Linked DNA regions of Cricetulus griseus. The main gene of each other region encodes a partner of the protein of the gene in region 3 in a complex. Links are inferred from orthologs where the notes say so. Each region holds a gene or a part of one and is shown on either strand. Other genes may lie near its edges.

Region 1 (6,071 bases), on a different chromosome or scaffold from region 3:
CACTCACTGCCCCCTCCCTATCCAGAAATCCATTCTATGGACAGGCAAGCAACTCATTAAAGAAAAAAAACAACCCATTCTTAGGCTGGGCAAGCCTCTCATGAAAGGATTTCAAATAAATTGTCCACACAAGGCTCTTAAACACAACAAATCAAAGAGTTATTTACTAAACAAGATAATGGTTCACTTTGTAAAAGAATTTATCATGGGATGCCTATAAATGATTTTCCTTGATGTGTAAAAGCTAATAACTTAATAATGAGGTAAAATTGGTATTACACCTTGTATAAGAACCCATCTGTTGTGCAAAAGGGAGCATGTGTGTTTGGCTAAATACTGATGCCCATAGGGATCTTGCCAACAGTCAGCAGGGGCCATGGTAGTGTCACCAACTTCTCAGACAAATAAGCTGGTCCGGTGGCCTGAGGGCAGATCTGGTCCCTCAGAGGGACTATAACGTCTATTCACGCCCACTGCCAAGATAGGGACTGTGGAGGTCTAGAGGGAGATTCGGGACTCCGGACTGGCAGGGAGGTACCAGAGGACCACACTTCAGCAAACACACAGCTAAAGCTCAGCCCTCAGTTTACTGCCAGCCCTGCCTCTCCCCAAAGCCTGAAGCGTCATCCAGAACTTGGGGTAAGGGATGTGAAAAAGGATTTAGCAAGTGACAAGCAGGAGAGCAAGGGGTGCGTGAGAGAGGGGACACTGGCAGCTGACTGTCGCAGTCTGTCTCCAGTGTGGGCACACAAAAGAACCAGACCAGTGCCCCCAAGCCCTCCCCAGAGAGTATCCAAGTCAGAATGACTTGGTCGCTGCTAACACCCTTCCTCAGCTTCCCACACCCATCACTCACCCACCTGGTCCCCGAGGCTTCTGCCTGCCCGCCCCTGCACGCCCTTCCACGCCGGTGGGGGGGCACTCACCTGCGGCTCCGCGCGGGGGCGGTGGGCACAGGCTGGCCCTGGCCCTGTGGCTGGCTCTGCCCGGGCGGGGGCGCTGCTCGCTTGCGGGCGGGCTCCATGCCCGCGGGGGCCAGGCCGGGTCGCACGGCGGGGCTGCCCATGTAGGGGGAGCCCGGGGGGCCCATGGGCGCCCCCTGGTGGGGCATTCGGGCTCCAGACGGCATCCCGGGGCGCTGGGGGGGTGGGGTGGGGCGGGAGGTGAAGCAGAAACCGGCGCCGACAGGTCAGATTCGGTCCCGACCCCCAGGCCAGCGTGCTGTGTCCCCGCCCCTCTCCAAGACCCGGGGCTGGTAACCCTGCGCTGAGCGAGGAGTGGGAGTGATTGTGGGAGGGGCGGGGGCGCGGGAATCTGCGTGGCTCTGGAGGAGGGGGCTCGCCGGCTCCTTGCAGGAAGCTAACTGAAGCCAGGCAATTGCCCAGGGCATAGCCGAGCCTCGGAGCCGTGCAAGGTACCGCAAAAATGAATATTAATGGCGCCTTTCAACCTTTCAAAGGATGTTCACATCGGCAGGCACGGTCTTCTGCAAGCCAGCCAGAGCCGGTCTTTTTTATCCCCAATTGACAGATGGGGCAACTGGGGCTCAAAGAGAAAAAGCGACCTCGCCAAGGTCACCCCGTTCATCCCGACAAAGGCAGCACCTTGACGGGCCTTGCTCCCCGCTGCTTTCCTGCTTTCTACAGCCCACTTCTGGGGCTTTGTATGTGAGCCCCCATCTCCCTTTCAGCACCCCTGGTTTGGACCCTTGGTGTTCAAATAACCCCTTCAGCTGACTCCAGGTCTCTGACTTAGTCTGCCTCCTTAATTTCATTTCTCCCAAGGTGATACAAGAGGCTGGGCAAAGGCACCCGAGGGTCTGAGCTTTTCCGAGTGGCAAGTGGGGAACTGGACTAGAAGTGGGCTGCCAGAGGGCAGGGATGGTTGAAGGAAGCCACATCTCCCTCCCATCTGCCTACATCAGAGAGAGAACCCAGTACCCACCCCATCCTAGTAAGGGTACAAATTGGAGGGAAATGAGGCAGGTTGTATTTCCCCAGCCACCACCTCTGGGCAGTCAATCAAAACAGAAGAGGTGTAAACGCAAGCGGGGTGTTCCAGAGTCCACTTGTCCAGGCCTGGAAAGGGAGTTGAGGTTTAGGGGCTAACCAGGAACAAGGAGGTGATGTGGGGGTGCAGACCCTACTATTTACACACCCTCATCTCAGGCTAGGGATGTAGCTTGGTGTAGTGCTTGCCCAATACATGTGAAGCCCAGGGTTCGATTCCCAGCACCAAAGAAACTGCACTTGTAATCCCAATCTCAAGGTGGGGACAGAAAGAGCAAGACCATCTTCCCTTATATAGTGAGTTCGAGGCCTAGGCTACAGGAGACCCTGCCTCAATACACAATAAACAAATACAAAATACTCCTCATCTCACCCCAGAACCAAGAAACCCCGACTGCTCAGACCAAAGGTCTCCACCCTCTACCACCCTCTACCAGCAGCTGTCCCTGGCCATCTCTTCTGTAGTGTAACCGGCCAGTTCCTGAGTTTGCCTCCCCCATTCCACCTGACTCTGTCACTCATACCACCAGTGCCACCAGGGTGGAAGGCCAGGCCTAGTCATTCCCCACTACTAATAAGGGGGCCTTGATCACTCAAGGACTGACCCTCCAAGTTGGCCATATTCAAATCCACATGGGCAGCCTCCTCTTCACTGAATGGGACTCTGTAAAGCAACTCCCCCAGGCAGCTAGGTTAGGACTGGTAACTCCACTAACCCACAGGACTGCCTTGGGAACTGCACCCCAGAGATCCCTGTGGCTAGAGGGCAGGCTGCCACAGGGAAGCCCTCCTCCCTATCAGCTGCCCTGCTACTCATCAAGGCCACCCACACTGTCTGGTTTACTGAGAGGAAGGGGCTTCCAGGGGCTCTGCCACCAGCACCACAATCACAAGAGGTCAAGGTTTTGGGGGCCCTTGCCTCTTTCACTGAGGAGGTGCTTCTTGGAGTCACAACCAAATTTGGCCATAGTAAATTTGACTGATTTTTCCCTCTATCACATATCCCCAAGCCTGGAGCGCCTTACAGCCAGGCTCTCCACTGACTCAACCCAGTCATCTCCCTCCTCAGGTCCCTGGAACCCTCAGGTCCCTCGTGTGCCTTCACATGTCTGTGGCAGGACACTATAGTGTTAACCCTTTGATCTCTAGGCCTCATGTCCCCAACTCCATCCCTTCACACCTTTGAGGTATTAAGGTCATCAACTTCTGGTGGCTGAGCCTGCCAAGGGATCCCCTGACCCCTTTAACTTGGGGTCCATCTCTTAAGTAGGCCTCTCTTAGCTCTGACAGCAGGGCCAAGTCCTCAGGACCCTCCTGCTAGGCTGCAGAGGTTGCTCAGCCAGGGAGCTTTTGCTCTCAGGTGCCTCCAGGGTCACCTGCTCCTAGTTCCTCAGACCCAGTCAGAGTGACACTGCCCCTGTGGATGAACAGGACAACAGGCAGCCCAACCCTAGTTGTGTGTTCCAGTCGCCACCCCACCCCCACCCCAGGGCAGGGGTAACACCTGGGCCCACCAGTAAAAAAGAACGGGCGACGTGTCAGCTACAGAGGGGACCCACCTCTTGGGGGGCACGGTGCCCACATCCCACCCCTTGCCCCTGACAAGAGCCCAAGCCGACGCCTCTCTTCCCTGCCGCCGCGCGCCCATCCCCAGCCGACCGCTTGGCGACGTGTTCGGATGCCAGGGCGCCGGCAAGGTCCCAGGGTTGGGCCGTGACCGTGCGCCCCCCAACCAAAGGGGTGGGAGAGCGGGAGCGCGCCGGCGGCCCTTCCCGATCATCCCTCCATTCAGCCCGAGCCAGCTCGCTCGCCCTCCCCCGCTAACTTTCCCCCACTCACCACCCCATGGACCAGAAACTCAAAAAGTTTGCTTTTCGTGGCTTTGCGCGCCCCTCCGGCAACTTCGTCCGCGGCCATCGGGGTGGGCTCAGCGGCTCCTCTCACTCTCTCTCTCTTCCTCTTTCTTTCCCTTTTCTGCCTTTTTTTCCTCCAACTCTCCCCTCTGAGTCCTGCTGGGCTCTCTCACACTTCTACTCGAGCGGAGTGGGGAGGGGGCCCCTTCAGGGCTGCCCTGACGGCCCACGGCCCAAGCCGCCGCCGCCCGCCCGCCGCCGCCGCCCGCCGCCGCCGCCGCGGCTGCCGCATTCCTGCACTGATAAGACAGAAATAGTCCGGCGGCCCGGGGTCTGCCTGCGACGCGCGGGGACACAGCAGCCCTCCCGTGCACCCGCGTGGTCCAAACGGCGCAGAGACGCGGCGAGCCAGGCCGGTCCGCCCAGCGGCTGCGAGGCGGGCAGCGAGCGCCCAGGCCGCCGGAGGCTCGCCGGTGGCGGCACGGGGAGGGACAGTCTAGGGAGGGGACGGGGGGGGGCTTGCCCGCCACCCTGCCTTCTTTCTCCACAAACAGTTTCTCGGTTGGGGAATTCGCCGGCAGGGCCAGGCAGAGAACGGGCAGTTCCAACTTTCTTCCCCCAAGTGGCTCCTGCAGCATTTCTGAGGCCCTTTCCCCAGGGACCGGGCAGGCCAAGTAGGGAAACATTTGCTGGAAGGAATCCGGGGGCGGGGGGGCGGGCGAGCCGGGAGCGGGCCTTGCAGCCGTCCAGGGCCGGCCGCCGTGGGTGTGCCCGTGCCTCGCGCTCCGCGTGTCTGCACCCTTTTGTGGCTCGGCGCAGCGGCCGAGGGTGTGGATGTTTATGTGCGGGCACCGGTGTGCTCCCTCCACGGGAGCCGCCGTGCCTGCGCGTGCGAGCGTGCGAGCGTGCGTGCGCGCGGGGCAGGACACGGCCTGTGCCTTCCAGCTCGGAGGGAGGCTATTTCTGGGCTCGTGAGTCTTTGTTTGCCTCTGTGTGGGAAAGTGAGGGCAACCGGGGAAAGTCTTTCCGAAAAGGGGACATGGACTGGGCTCCTGAGCACAGGAAGAGTGAGTGTGGGGAATCGTGCCGAGCCGGGATGCGTACTTGGGTGGGTAAGGAGGAAAGAGTGAGCAAACAAGGTTTGGTGGCTCTGGCATGGAGACCCAGGGGGGCTGGGGGGCTGAGGTCCGCTCCAGGACCGAAGAGAAAGCAGGAGTGTGGAGTGGGAGAGGATGAGGGAGCCCCGGAAAGGACCGTAGGGAGAGAACTGGCCGACCCCCGAGTGGAGGGAGAACAGAAAGGAGATCCCTAGGCTGAGCTCAGGCCCCGCCCATGCCAGAAGCCACGCCTGTTCCCACCTTCTGGAGGAGGAGCCCGCAGGCTTTGGGACAACTAAGGGTCACACTTATGGGCTTCCTGGGACGGCAGCTGTCAGAACTAGGATGAGGGAGGGACAAGGCCTGAGGGAATTTGTGGGAACACATTAAAATTTGAGCCCTCAGGACCCAGCATTGCACGGAGGGGGCCTAACCTTTGGCCCTGCAGAATGTCTTCATTGGCCAGGACAAGCAACAGAGGGAATGTTCTCCCAGGAGTCTTTTGGGCCAGCACCTTAGTTTCCTGCAGGTCCTGCTAGTGTGCCTAGCTGTCATTGCCCTTTCAGGCGCCCACTGTCACTGTGAAAGGTTTAGAGAGAACGCCTTGTTCAGATGGTGTGGCAGACACTGGTTCACGGTGGGCTGACCAGCAGCCAGGGCTATAAAGGTAGCTCTAGTGATGATCTGCGTGGGAACCCTCCCTCATCTGCTAGCCTTGAGGCTCTTCTGCCACCGTGTAATGCCTCCACTTGCCCTCTGCCTGGCCCATCACACTCACCCTTTAAGACCCAGGTCAGACCCTGGTTCCTGGCCTCACTCATGGGAATACATCTTAGTCTTCTCCAAACGTCCGGTATCACTATCTTGTCCATAAACTGGGCTGGACTAATGCCTCAGGTGTCCTTTGCTTCAGGTGCATTTGGGTTTGTGACTCCTGAGGGCAGAACCTGGCCTTGGGCCCATGTTTTCCCCAGGCCTGGGTACAGGAACTCTGTAACACCAAAGCCGAGAAAAGCCTAACCTAGGCCAGTGGGTGCAGCTGGTGCTCTGGCATATACCTGAAGATTTGTGCTACCCCTACCTCTACTTCTAGCCGGGCCTGGGACCAGGCC
Region 2 (5,762 bases), on a different chromosome or scaffold from region 3:
TTAAGACATAAACTTTACTGGGGAAATAAATCCGTTTCCTAGAGTGAGTACCGGAAGCGTGCTTCACCGTATTACATAATTTTTTTCTTTGCCGCCACCCAATCCATGTGCCATTGGAAAGACTACCCGAAATAAACCCGTGCACACTCTTACTATCCTGTGACCTTGGGCTAGTGACTTTGCCAGTAGTGGCTGTCTCTAAAATGGGAATGCTAACACACTGAGGAAACATGATGCTCGACGAGGGAGGGCTCCAACATCTTCGTCAATGCAAATTTGGGTGTTATTTGTTGAGAGAAAATTTTGAATTCCCTTTTTTACACATTTAAGGACCGCTACGGAAAATGGCAAGGGGAAACGTTTTGCCCTCTATTTTAAGATATTAGTGCCAAATATAAACGTTATCCTCAAAGTTCTAGAGGTGGTTTCTTAACCGGCGCGGTGACTGTTGGCATCAACTCCGGTTCGGTGCACGAAACCGACCGAGGGGCGAGACGAATTCAGAGCCTTACTCTCATCTCCACAAAAGTAGGGCAGACAATTCACACCGTGTGTGCTCCACAGTTTGTCAAAATGAGTTTTTTGGTCACACCGTGGAAAATGTGCTCCTCGGGCCCCAGTCTGGTAGCATAAAGCCGAGAGGCCGATCCCTCCCGCCCTAAACATTTGCAGAGGCTGCGAGAGGACTTTCCCCGGGAGGCGAGGGCTGCGCCGGGGCGAGCCGCTGGCCCTCGGTGCGGCGGGAGGCCCGGCGGGGGGACACGGAGGCCGCTCTGCCACAGCCCCGGCCGCCGGGGACGCGCACATCGCCTCCACCCCTCACCCTGGAAGAACCGGTAGTGGCCGTTTCCCCGCGCCGCCCCCGCCCCCCTTTCCGCCCGCTTTGTGTGCGTGTGAAATGTGCTGCACATTGCAGATGAACCCTAAGCCGGGCGAGCCGGAGTCTATTGTTCCCCGCGAGGAGCAGCCGCGACCGTGTGGAGCCAGGCGCAGTGCCGCGGCCGGCCCTCGGGGGGCGCTGTGCGGCGCTGTCGTGCGAGCGGCCCGGCCGTGGCGGCGGCGGCTGAGAGCGAGACTGGCGGCCAGGCAGGCAGGCCGGCGCGGCGGCGCGCAGCGGCTCGGCTGCCGCCGGAGCCTGTGCCGGGGGACGCCGGGCCGCCGTGGCCACCGCCGTCTCCGCCGCCGCGCGCGTGAATGTGTGCGAGGCCCCGCGGAGCCGCGCGCCGGATCCACGCTGTCACCCCGCTCTCCACAAGCCACCACACAGACCTCCCCCTCCCACGCGGCCCCGCCTGCCCCGGCCCCCGCGCTGCCGCCGCCCGCCGCCGCGCGCCGCCGCCGCCGCCGAAACTCCCAGGCCTGCGGCCACCCGGGCCCCTCGCCTCCGCTCGCCCGGCCCCGGCGCCTCGTGCGCCCCCCGGCCGCAGCACCATGTTGAATCGCGTCCCGGGCCGAGCCGCCAGGGCCGGCGGCGCTGAGAGGCGGCCAGAGCCGGGCCGCGGGGGCGGCGAGGCAGGGGGGGCGCTCGCCCCGCGGCTCCGCGCCCGGCCGGCGCCCGTCGCCTTGCCCCTCTAGTTTCGCTCCCGTTTCTTTAAACTTTTTTAGAAATTCCCCTCCCTCCGGCCCTGCGCTCCCCCTGGCCTCCCGCTCCCTCCTTCCCTCCTCTCGCCTCCTCCCCCTCCTCCTCCCTCCCTGCGCCGCCGCCGCCGCCGCCGCCGCCGCGCCGCCGCCGCCACCGCCGGCCCATGACTGAGCCCCGCCACCGGCGGCCGAGGAATGGGCTCCGGGCGCTGGTAGGGAGCGCGGGGAGCGGGGGCCGCGTCTGAAGCGCGATCTGGCTTTTCGGAAGCCCTTCCTTTTGGCAAAATAATGGCAAACTCGACGGGGAAGGCGCCTCCGGACGAGCGGAGGAAGGGACTGGCTTTCCTGGACGAGCTGCGGCAGTTCCACCACAGCAGAGGGTGAGAGCAGGACCCGGGGGGGCGAGCGCCGGGGCGAGCCGGGGCGAACGGGGCCCCGCGGCGGGCGCGGGGGGTCCCGGTGACAAGTGCGGGGCTTTCTGTCGCCCGCAGGTCGCCGTTTAAGAAGATCCCTGCGGTGGGTGGGAAGGAGCTGGATCTTCACGGGCTCTACACCAGAGTCACTACTTTAGGCGGATTCGCGAAGGTGAGTGGAAGTTTTAATTTGTATTTCCCTCTCGCTGGCCTGCTCCGAAAAGTCTGCTCCGGCCCGGGAGCGGGCGCCCCGGGGGCCGGGGAGGGGGGGGGCGACCGGCGGGGCACACGGCGTTCTCGGCGCTCGCAGCCGGCGGTGGCACGGAGGCGGCCCGGCGGCGGCAGGGGCTGTTTTTCGGCCTGGTGGCTCGCTCGCTCGCTCGCGTGCGCGCGGCGGGGCGCGGGGCTGGGCGGGCTGGGCGGGCGGCCCGGCGGCCCGGCGGCCGGGAAAGCGCCCCCGGCCCGGTGTCCGGCCGGCCCCCGCGGGGTCTGAGCGGCGCGGCGGGGGAGCGCGGGCGAGCAGGGTGCCCGCCCGCCGAACCCCGCGCCCGCCCGCGCCCGCTTGCCCGCTCGCTCGCCGCCTGCGAGTCAGCGCCGCCGCCGCGCCGCCGCCGCCGCCGCCGCTGCCGCTCTAGCACAGGCGGAGACACAGAGACACACAGACTCTGAGCAGTTTTCGTGCAACTCAAAATTAGCGCGGGCAGGTTTAACATCGATAATCGGCTGCGAAATGATCCCGGCGGCCGGGGGCACAGGCTCGGCCCGCTCGCCCTGGCTTTCCACAGCTAACAAAAGAAAGCAGGACCTGTCTGCAAATAGCCATCTTAGGCTTCAAGGCTAGGCAGAAGCTGTAGGCCTCAAAGAAGGGCCTATGGAGATGGAGAGATCTGGGAGAGGGATCGGAGTCGGGCCCCGGCCCCGGCCCCCCCAGAGCTCGCGGACGTCGCTGTCCGGAGCAGTATTGATCCTTTTGAACTTTTTTTTTCTTCTTCTTTAGTGTAAACGGACCGCGTTGAGATTTAAAAGGGGGCGACAGAGGGACTTGCGATTGGTTATTGTCCGGGCTTCAAAAACAAAACAAACCCACCAATCCTCTCCCCCCCAAACAAAACAAGTGCTGCTAAATGCAGGTCTCTCTGATGAAAACCTAGTGATTCAGGCGGCCCTGGCTTAGTAACTCTTGTGGACAGACCCCAGACACCCACTGATACCTTAGGTATCTGCAGATCTCTGCAGAATGGGAATTTAGCTCCCAAGTTAGGGTAGGTTTTTCTTGGATTGGGCACTTTCAGACAAGTGTGCCTGTGTTTTTAACAGGTTTCTGAGAAGAATCAGTGGGGAGAAATTGTTGAAGAGTTCAACTTTCCCAGAAGTTGTTCTAACGCTGCCTTTGCTTTAAAACAGTATTACTTGCGGTGAGTAGTGGTGACTTTTCCACAGTATTTGGAAATGAGGGACTTAAGGGCGATTAAACAACAACAAAATTTATGCTCTAAACAATTTCCAACCCCTTGGTAATTTCAGTCTGAGAAGCATTGACTGTCAAAAAAGGGAGATGATAGGAGGCTGAAGTTTTCCTCACCTTAAAACACGGCCATTTACATTTTCCATACAAAGTCATTACAGGTGACAACCCATGTCCTGTCTTGTAAACATTCTTTTGTGACATTGTTATTGACTGCTTGATAGTCACTGAGGGCCAGAAAAGATGATGCTTAGTAAAAGTCTTAAGATACTTAATGAAACTTTGTAACCTGTGGGAAGATTTGTCTTTCTTCTTTTTCTTCTTTGGAAACTCCTTAACCCTCTACAATTCTGGTTTTCGGAATTTCTTTTTTTAAAGGAAAAGTATTGGAACTGTTATTCAGTGCGTTTTCAATGGAATATTTTTACATAAATAATACAATGTAGATACATTGGTTGACCAGGGTTACTTTTTTGGACTCTTGTTACTGAATTTCTGAGAAATTTGAAAATATTCAGCATCTTTAGGAAAATGGGGGTGGTGTGAAGCCAGGTACTATGGTTGGGATTTTCTTCCATTTTCCCTTGCATTTTGACTGCTTACTCAAAAAAGTAAACTTCTTACTGAGTTGGTATATGCTTTAGTCTAGATAATGTATTTTGTGACTTTTAGGATTTTTTTTTCCTCCTAGATTTCCTTTTATAGATCCTTTCATATTGTACTTTGTTTTGGAGTCGGTATTTGTATTTGATTACCCAGTGTTCTTAGTAATTTAAAATTAAAATAATGATCTCAATAGTTCCTTCTAATAAGTATTGGTAATGGTGATATCATAAGATAGCCTTTATTTCATTTTTGTAAAATGTAGCTTCTGTATAATTTGAGTCTTGTATTGCTCCAAATGCACTAGTTACTCTGTATAGCGCTCAGGATTCTGACATAGGAAACAGGGTAATTGCACAGGTGTACTTCCTATTGGCTGCCTTAGATTGACTTCAGACTTGACGCTGAAGAGTTCACAGATCTTGTCAGTTACTAGTTCTATATGAACTCAAGAAAATACCAGGTGTGTGTGTGTGTGTGTGTGTGTGTGTGTGTGTGTGTGTGTGTGTGAGTGTGTATACATGTCAGAGTATCTTTTAAATAAAAGAATAAATTAAAAACAGCTTCCCAAGCCGTTGATTTAGTAATAAAATGAGAAATAAGAACTTAATACTTATAGTGATAGTCACTTGATTATTTCTGGTTTGGATAGTAAGAGGATCTGAGAGAATCATGCTAATACATGCTAGGGCTTTGTGCTAATCAATTTAAAACATTTGTATATTTAAATTGTATATTTTAAAGTTATGCCTAGTATTTTTTAAGTTTCTAGATTAAATTTCTGTGTTCAATTCTGAATGGTATATGTGACTGGTGAGATGTGTATTTTTCTGTAAAATTTGCATTCCTATTAACAAACAGCATAATTAATGAAATACTTGGACTTCTTTTCTTTTACAAAGTTTATTTATAAGTATTTTGTTTCTTGCTGTCTTTTCTATCTTGGGATTATGCCAAATAGTAATTGTACTTATAGGTAGTCTTTTTTAACCAGATACTTTCAAAGTTGTTTTAAGTATTTACATTGTTCTTAGGTCAACTTGGGCCTTATGTTCTTATTAGAAGCTGCTTTAAACTATGTCCTTAGCTAAACTTGTGTTCCTCCATATGTCACTCTCCAGGTTTGCTTTTGTAGGGCTGTAGCTAGGCTACTGAGAAAAAGTTAAAGCATTTTGTTTTGGAAAATAAAACCAAGTGAAGATTTGCATGACTTGCAAAGAAATAGGATGATCAAAAATTGGGTACTACCAACCTTGATAGAATTTTCCCTAGTGATATATTCTACAATTAGAGGATATGTGTTGTGTTCTACACTTTCCTCTAAAAAAACCGAATTGGCAGACCAGATGCCAAACTCTAATAGTAATTCTCTTAGTTAACCATAACAGTGCCTTCTCAGTAAGAAATGGTAATGAAGTGATTGATAAGTTAGCTCTGCTCTATCTGATTTAATACCAGGGTTTCTGAGAAAGAAGATCATGCCTTGTGTTTTGGTGGGTTTCTTTTGTTTTCAGCTATGTACTATTCTCTCCAAGTCATAAATTGGAGAGATTGACTTCAGATTTGATGCTGAAGAGTTCACAGAACTTGGCAGTTACTGAGGTCCATAGGAACTCTAGAAAATAATAAGGCATGGGTATGGTGTGTGTGTGTGTGTGTGTGTGTGTGTGTGTGTGTGTGTGTGTGTGTGAGAGAGAGAG
Region 3 (5,805 bases):
AAGTCACAACTGCATGATTCACTCTATGTGTTAAATCAAAAGGACAAAGTTTGAGATGCCAACCTAAAAACCCTCTTCCCAGACACACTGGTTCTTGGGGACTGTTCTGGCTATGCCATCTATTTTTCTGATCTATCAAAATAAAAGACACATAGGATTTCTAATGCGTCCTCTGGCTTCAGAAGGACCCCAGGAAACACTGGGAATTTTCTTTAAACTAAACATGAACAGCAGAGAGAAGGCATCTCACCATCCCTGGTCACTCTTGAATTTGTAGGCAGCTGCCAGAATGTGGCACAGGGATCCTCCTGCTTTGAAATCTAGGAAACATTTGATCTACAAAATAGAGACCAGGAAGAAGTGTGAGTTACATTGTAAATAAAAACCTGCCACAAAAATCCCACTCTGAACTCATCTCCTTCTCAAATGTTTTGTTTTGTTTTGTTTGTTTTTTTGAAACAGGGTTTCTCTGTGTCTTTGGAGGCTGTCCTGAACTAGCTCTTGTAGACCAGGTTGGCCTCGAACTCACAAGAAATCTGCCTGCCTCTGCCTCCCAAGTTCTGGGATTAAAGACATCAGCCACCATTGCCTGCCAGGACACTGTCTTAAAAAGCAAACAGCCAGGCATTGGTGGCTGATGCCTTTAATGCCAGAACTTGGGAGTCAGAGGCAGGCGGATCTCTTGTGAGTTCAAGGCCAGCCTGGTCTACAAGAGCTAGTTCAGGACAGCCTCCAAAGACACAGAGAAACCCTGTCTCGAGAAACAAAACAACAACAAAAAAGAATCCCTGGAGGTATAAGCCACCATGTGGGTACTAGTAATGGTACCCAGATACTCTGCAAGTGCTCTTAACCACTGAGCCATCTCTCCTGCTCCCAAATGTCATACCCTTTTAAACCATAACCATGAGAGACACACCAGAGGACTAAACCCCATATTCTCAGATTACTTGTGGCACAGGGGTTTTCTAAAATAACAGGAATAGCCAGCTGGGGACTAGTTCAAGCTGTAATGCCCTGACTACTAATGACGACAATTACTGTAGGAAATAAACCTACCAAAATTACGAAATTTGAAGAGAAACAAGATGAATTTATTTTTTCTTTTGAGACAGGGTCTCATAACATGGGACACAGTATCAGAACTGCTATGTAAATCAGTTTGGCCTCCAACTTTTGATTCTCCTGCCTCAACCACCCTAATTCTGGGATTCTGTGTACTAGGAAAAGAAAATTTAAAGCAAAACAACAAAAACTCCCTTTCCAGTTTGGAGGATTCGTCCCTTGCACTCACCGGCAGTTTAGTAAGGGGTGCATTGCTGACATGCTTGCCAAAAACCTCTTCCTGAAACTGGAGCAACTGCACAACCAGGCTAGACAGGGACTTGTTGGTCGGTGGTTCTGCTTGTATGTACTGAGGAAGAAGGGAAAGGAAGAGAAACAGATTCTAGACACGCTCTCTACCACCTCCCGTTTCTTTTCCCTGTGTTCTTGGAAGCACCTGGGACAGAGTTGTGCCTTTCTCCTCCACGTTGTCTGTCTATATCAAAAGGGCTCTAGCAGCTCCTGCATTTTACTGTCAGTAGCCCAGGTTGCCAGCACTGGGGACAGACAGCAAGGAACACTTTGCACTCTTATTTAGCTGCACCCCAATGCTGGCATTGCACAACACCCTGATAGCTGGTCACCTCATCCCCAGCAAACAGTTAAAATCTTGAAGCTTTATGAAGTTCAAGGCAAGGCAACAAAAATCCCTTTGAGGCTCTAAGTGACACAACAATGTATTTCTTGGGGGAACACGATAAAAGACCAGGCTTCCACCCATAATGGTATCTTAAGAGAGCAAAGAAGAGAGGCAGGGCAATCTAACTTCAAAACTAAGCCTGTACATTTTGCTTCCACTGAAACCTGACATGATTGTCATTGTAGGGTCTCCTCTCTAGCAAGGAGGGCAGACCACCCACCGGGCCTGAGGATAAGTAGGAAGCCCGACATCTACCTATCCTTTTCTGAGGAAACAATGACCTCAAGCATTTCCCTATGGTGCTACCTGGAATCCTACCTTTCTGTTTTGTTCACTGATCCAAGGAACTAATTTTCTCTTTACCTTTTGACCCTTATTTCCTCTACCCTAATCAGAGTCAGACCTCTCTCGGTGGGAGGTGTCAAAAGATCTGTGAAGGGAGAAGTAGATGACAAAGAGTTCAGCACTTGAAAGCTGAATCGGGTCACAGCTGTCAATCCCCTTGGGGCGATAGACTAAGACCCTTGTCTGGTCTCCCTTCAAAAGGTCAAAAGCAGACTGGGAAGCAGAACCTCATGCTGGGGGTACACACAGGAGTCACAGACCCAACAGCTGTTTGTCAAGAGTCTTGACACCCATAGAGACCCCAACTCAAAGCAGGGTTAGTGGAGAGTTCTGAGGCTGACCACTGTATTCTGACAGGTTGCAAAGCTGGGATAGGAAGAGTTGGGGGCTGTAAAAGAAAATAAGTGGTGGGGGGGGGAACCTTAGGCAGGGGTATCTAGGAAGCAGGCCATATCCAGGAAAAAAAAAAAAAAAAGCCTAGAGACAATGAAAACACCAGAATGAGATTTGGGTTTTTTTTTTGTTGTTGTTGTTGTTGTTTGCTATGTTTTTAAAAACAGGTAGGGCTTCTTGAACCCTTTTGTTCACCACCCTTATTATTTCCAGTTACGGGGTGGGGGTGGGGACTGGCGATATGAAGCTTACCCTATCCTCTGGCCCTCAAAACCCAAGCGACGCTGGCTAGCTAGCTAGCTAGCTAGGCTGGGTTGCAGAGCGACTTTATTGTGAAGCCAAGGGGCCCGATGCCCTGGCCCCCGAGGAGGAGGGAAGGGGATAAAGCCTGGGGGACAGGTGATCCCCCAGGTAGAGACGCTTCCCACGGCCTGTCCCGTGCCTGTCTACCCTCCCGCTTTCTCCGTCTGTCTCTGGACGGATACAAAGCACCGAGGAGGGAGGCCCGGGCCGTGCCGGTACCTGGCTCGGCGGGGAAGCTCCGGCGCGGGGGGTGGGGGAGACACCGCGGCTCGCACACCGGAGGAGAGGAGGCGCGCGGCGGTACCCGGCCGACCGGGTGGCCGGCTCTGGACCGGTTAGCCTCCGGGAGAGCGAGGGCGATCGGGCCCTGGGCCGCCGCCCCGAGCCCCGGGCGAGCCCCGGGCAGAGGGCACAGTGGGGGCGGGGTGGGGAGGGGGCGCGGCGCTGCGCTGCGCGGGGAGGCCGCGGGGAGGGGCGCGGCGCGGCGCGGGGCGGCGAGGCGAGGCTAGGCGAGGCGGCCCGAGGGTGGGCCGGCCCCGGGAGAGCCGCGGCCCGCGAGCCCTTTGTCCCGGCCCGCCAGCCCGGCGTACCTTCTTGTAGTTCTTGCCGAGCCAGAGCCGCACGTTGTCGAACTGGGTCACGGTGTCCGCGGCCTCGTAGTACTTCACGTTGGGGCCGCCGTCCTTCTTCCGCACCGCCATCTTCTCGGGCTCGGGCCCCGCCGCCGCCGCCGCCCGCCCGCCCCGCTCAGCTCAGCTCAGCTCAGCTCCCGCCTCCTCCTCCGCCCGCCTCCCGCCGCCGCCTCCCCGCCACGGCCGCCGCCTCCCGCCGCCTGGGCCGGCCCCGGCCCGCGGGAGCGCCCCCTGCTGGCGGCCCGGCCCGACGCGGCCACAGCGAGCGGGCTCCGGGGCGGTGGCGGCGAGCCTCGCTCGCGGGTGGGTGGCGGCTGCTCCCCGGGGTCCCGCAGCGGGAGTGGGGACCCCATGGGGGACCCCGGTCTACAGGAGCTCCGCCCGCCCCTAACCCCGAGTGGCCCCCATCATGCGCGCTCCCTTCCCTCCAATAAGTCCCTTTCATCTCCTCCCATTCCGCTTTCGACCCCACGGGTGTTCCTGACGCTCCGGGTCCCGGTGCCGCCCAGCATCCCCCGGGGGTCGGGGCTCAGGTGAGGAGGGGGGTCTCTTCCCTCCGTTTGACTTTCCGGTCTTTTTGCCGACTGTCTGTGATTAAGGGATCGGTTTGCGAGCCCGGAGCCCCCGACCCTTCCGGGCCAGGCAGGCGGGATAGGAGGCAGCGGCTCCAGGTGTGCGCCTCGGGGCCGCCACCGCTGCGGGGTCGCACGCGCCTCCCTCGGGCGCCGCCCGGACCCTTTCTGTAAGCGCGCGGCGGAGCATGGTTTTGGGAGTCACGGTGGCCGAGTGGTTAAGGCGTTGGACTCGAAATCCAATGGGGTTTCCCCGCACAGGTTCGAATCCTGTTCGTGACGACATTCTCTGTTCCTTTTTTTTTTCCTCCGCCCCCGCCAGCCCCCCACCCCCATCTAAATGTGGAAGTGAAAAGATCGCATCGCTTCATTAGGTTAGGTGGGGGTAACATAGAAACTGATCGATGCACAGCTGTTCTGGCTGCTAGGTCACCAGGCAGTTTGAGAGATCTGTAACGATTCATGAGATAATGAAAGATTTGGGTGAAGATTTGTTTTGTTTGGGAATGTGTGTGTTGTGCAATGATAGTTAGTGGTGAAATTTCTAGGGAAAGAGGGCGTCTTGGAGATTTGTGACTAGAAGTCACACATGGAAGTCTTATGACACTGGAGACCGGAGAAACAAGCATTCCCTCATTTGGATGTTTAAGTTTGAGACAGGACCTCATGTATCCAGACTGCCCTTGAACTTGGACAGTAGCTAAGACTACCTTGAACTTTTTTCTGATCTTCCTGCCCTATGTTTCCAAGTGCTGGAGTTACAGGTGTGCTCACACACACCAGGTTCATGTCTTGTTGCTGAATCCAGGGGTTCAGGTGTATGCCAGGCAAGCATTCTCTGTTGAGTTGTGTTCCCTAGCCCACATTTGAAATTTCTTGAGATTAACTTCAGGTATGACAACAGGCCTAGAAGGAGGCCTATTGAAACTTAACCACTGCAGATGGTATTAGTACACGTTAGGTACCAGAAACAAGTTAAAATCTCCATGTACATTATTAACCAAACTAGGAAACTTGTCCTTTTCAACCTCTTACCCTTTCACCTTCCCTAGTGTTTGCAGGCTACTTGTTCTTTTTGTATTTCATGTCTTACATAGCGCAATCTTCTCCGAGAAGGAGCTCTGCGAATTCATGGAGCTGTCTATGTGTTGGTACGGGTTTCCCACCTTCATATGGCTGGCTCGCTGCTTCCCTGGCACCCCGATTAGCACAATGTCTAGCCTCACCCCCATCACTAAGTCCTCTGCATACCACAGGCTAGTCCTCCAGCTGGAACCTATCACTATCCCAGCACCAATGAGTTTCATGCAAGGAATCTTTCTGTTTGCTTTGTTTGTTTAGCTTTGTGAGACAAAGTTTCTCCTGTAACAGTCCTGGCTGTCCTGAAACTCGCTCTGTAGACCAGGCTGGTCTCAAACTCACGGAGATCCACCTGCCTCTGCCTCTTGAGAGCTGAGATTAAAGGTGTGTGCCACCACCCGTCAGTTGTTCGTTTGCTTTTTGAGGCAGTTTCACTGTAGTTCAGGGTGGCCTGCTGCAACTCAAACTCATGGCAGTCTTTCTAACTTGGTGCTCTGACTGCAAGATTACATGTTTGAGTCATCACACCCACCTTGCAGGGAATCTCTTTTTCCACAAAAAAACAAATTCTATTTATTCCCCCTTCTAAGTATGTTTTAAATCAGCTCAGTTTTCTCAGGGATGAGTGTGTAGTGGGCCTACCACTTGTCAGTCTTTTGAGAAGTTGCATATCTAGTGCATGTCTTTAATCCCAGCACTTGGAAGGCAGAGACAGGAGGATCTCTGGGAGTTCAAA

What was found. The genes of interacting proteins can lie anywhere in the genome.
Region 1: Smarcc2 (region 3) and Smarcd3 share a complex: the UniProt entries of both Homo sapiens proteins name them as parts of the BAF complex. The link is inferred for Cricetulus griseus from reciprocal best matches to the Homo sapiens genes SMARCC2 and SMARCD3.
Region 2: Smarcc2 (region 3) and Arid2 share a complex: the UniProt entries of both Homo sapiens proteins name them as parts of the SWI/SNF-B (PBAF) chromatin remodeling complex. The link is inferred for Cricetulus griseus from reciprocal best matches to the Homo sapiens genes SMARCC2 and ARID2.

Annotation. Positions count from the first base shown.
Region 1 is NC_048601.1:97,911,110-97,917,180, reverse strand, and holds the start of Smarcd3 (SWI/SNF-related matrix-associated actin-dependent regulator of chromatin subfamily D member 3), read right to left. Parts: upstream 4,079-6,071; 5' UTR 3,927-4,078; coding exon 3,849-3,926; intron 1,139-3,848; coding exon 927-1,138; intron 1-926. UniProt on the Homo sapiens protein: Involved in transcriptional activation and repression of select genes by chromatin remodeling (alteration of DNA-nucleosome topology).
Region 2 is NC_048595.1:392,708,916-392,714,677, forward strand, and holds the start of Arid2 (AT-rich interactive domain-containing protein 2), read left to right. Parts: upstream 1-1,684; 5' UTR 1,685-1,869; coding exon 1,870-1,961; intron 1,962-2,072; coding exon 2,073-2,166; intron 2,167-3,311; coding exon 3,312-3,409; intron 3,410-5,762. UniProt on the Homo sapiens protein: Involved in transcriptional activation and repression of select genes by chromatin remodeling (alteration of DNA-nucleosome topology). Required for the stability of the SWI/SNF chromatin remodeling complex SWI/SNF-B (PBAF).
Region 3 is NW_023276806.1:129,432,094-129,437,898, forward strand, and holds the start of Smarcc2 (SWI/SNF complex subunit SMARCC2), read right to left. Parts: upstream 3,537-5,805; 5' UTR 3,487-3,536; coding exon 3,376-3,486; intron 1,415-3,375; coding exon 1,295-1,414; intron 337-1,294; coding exon 251-336; intron 1-250. UniProt on the Homo sapiens protein: Involved in transcriptional activation and repression of select genes by chromatin remodeling (alteration of DNA-nucleosome topology).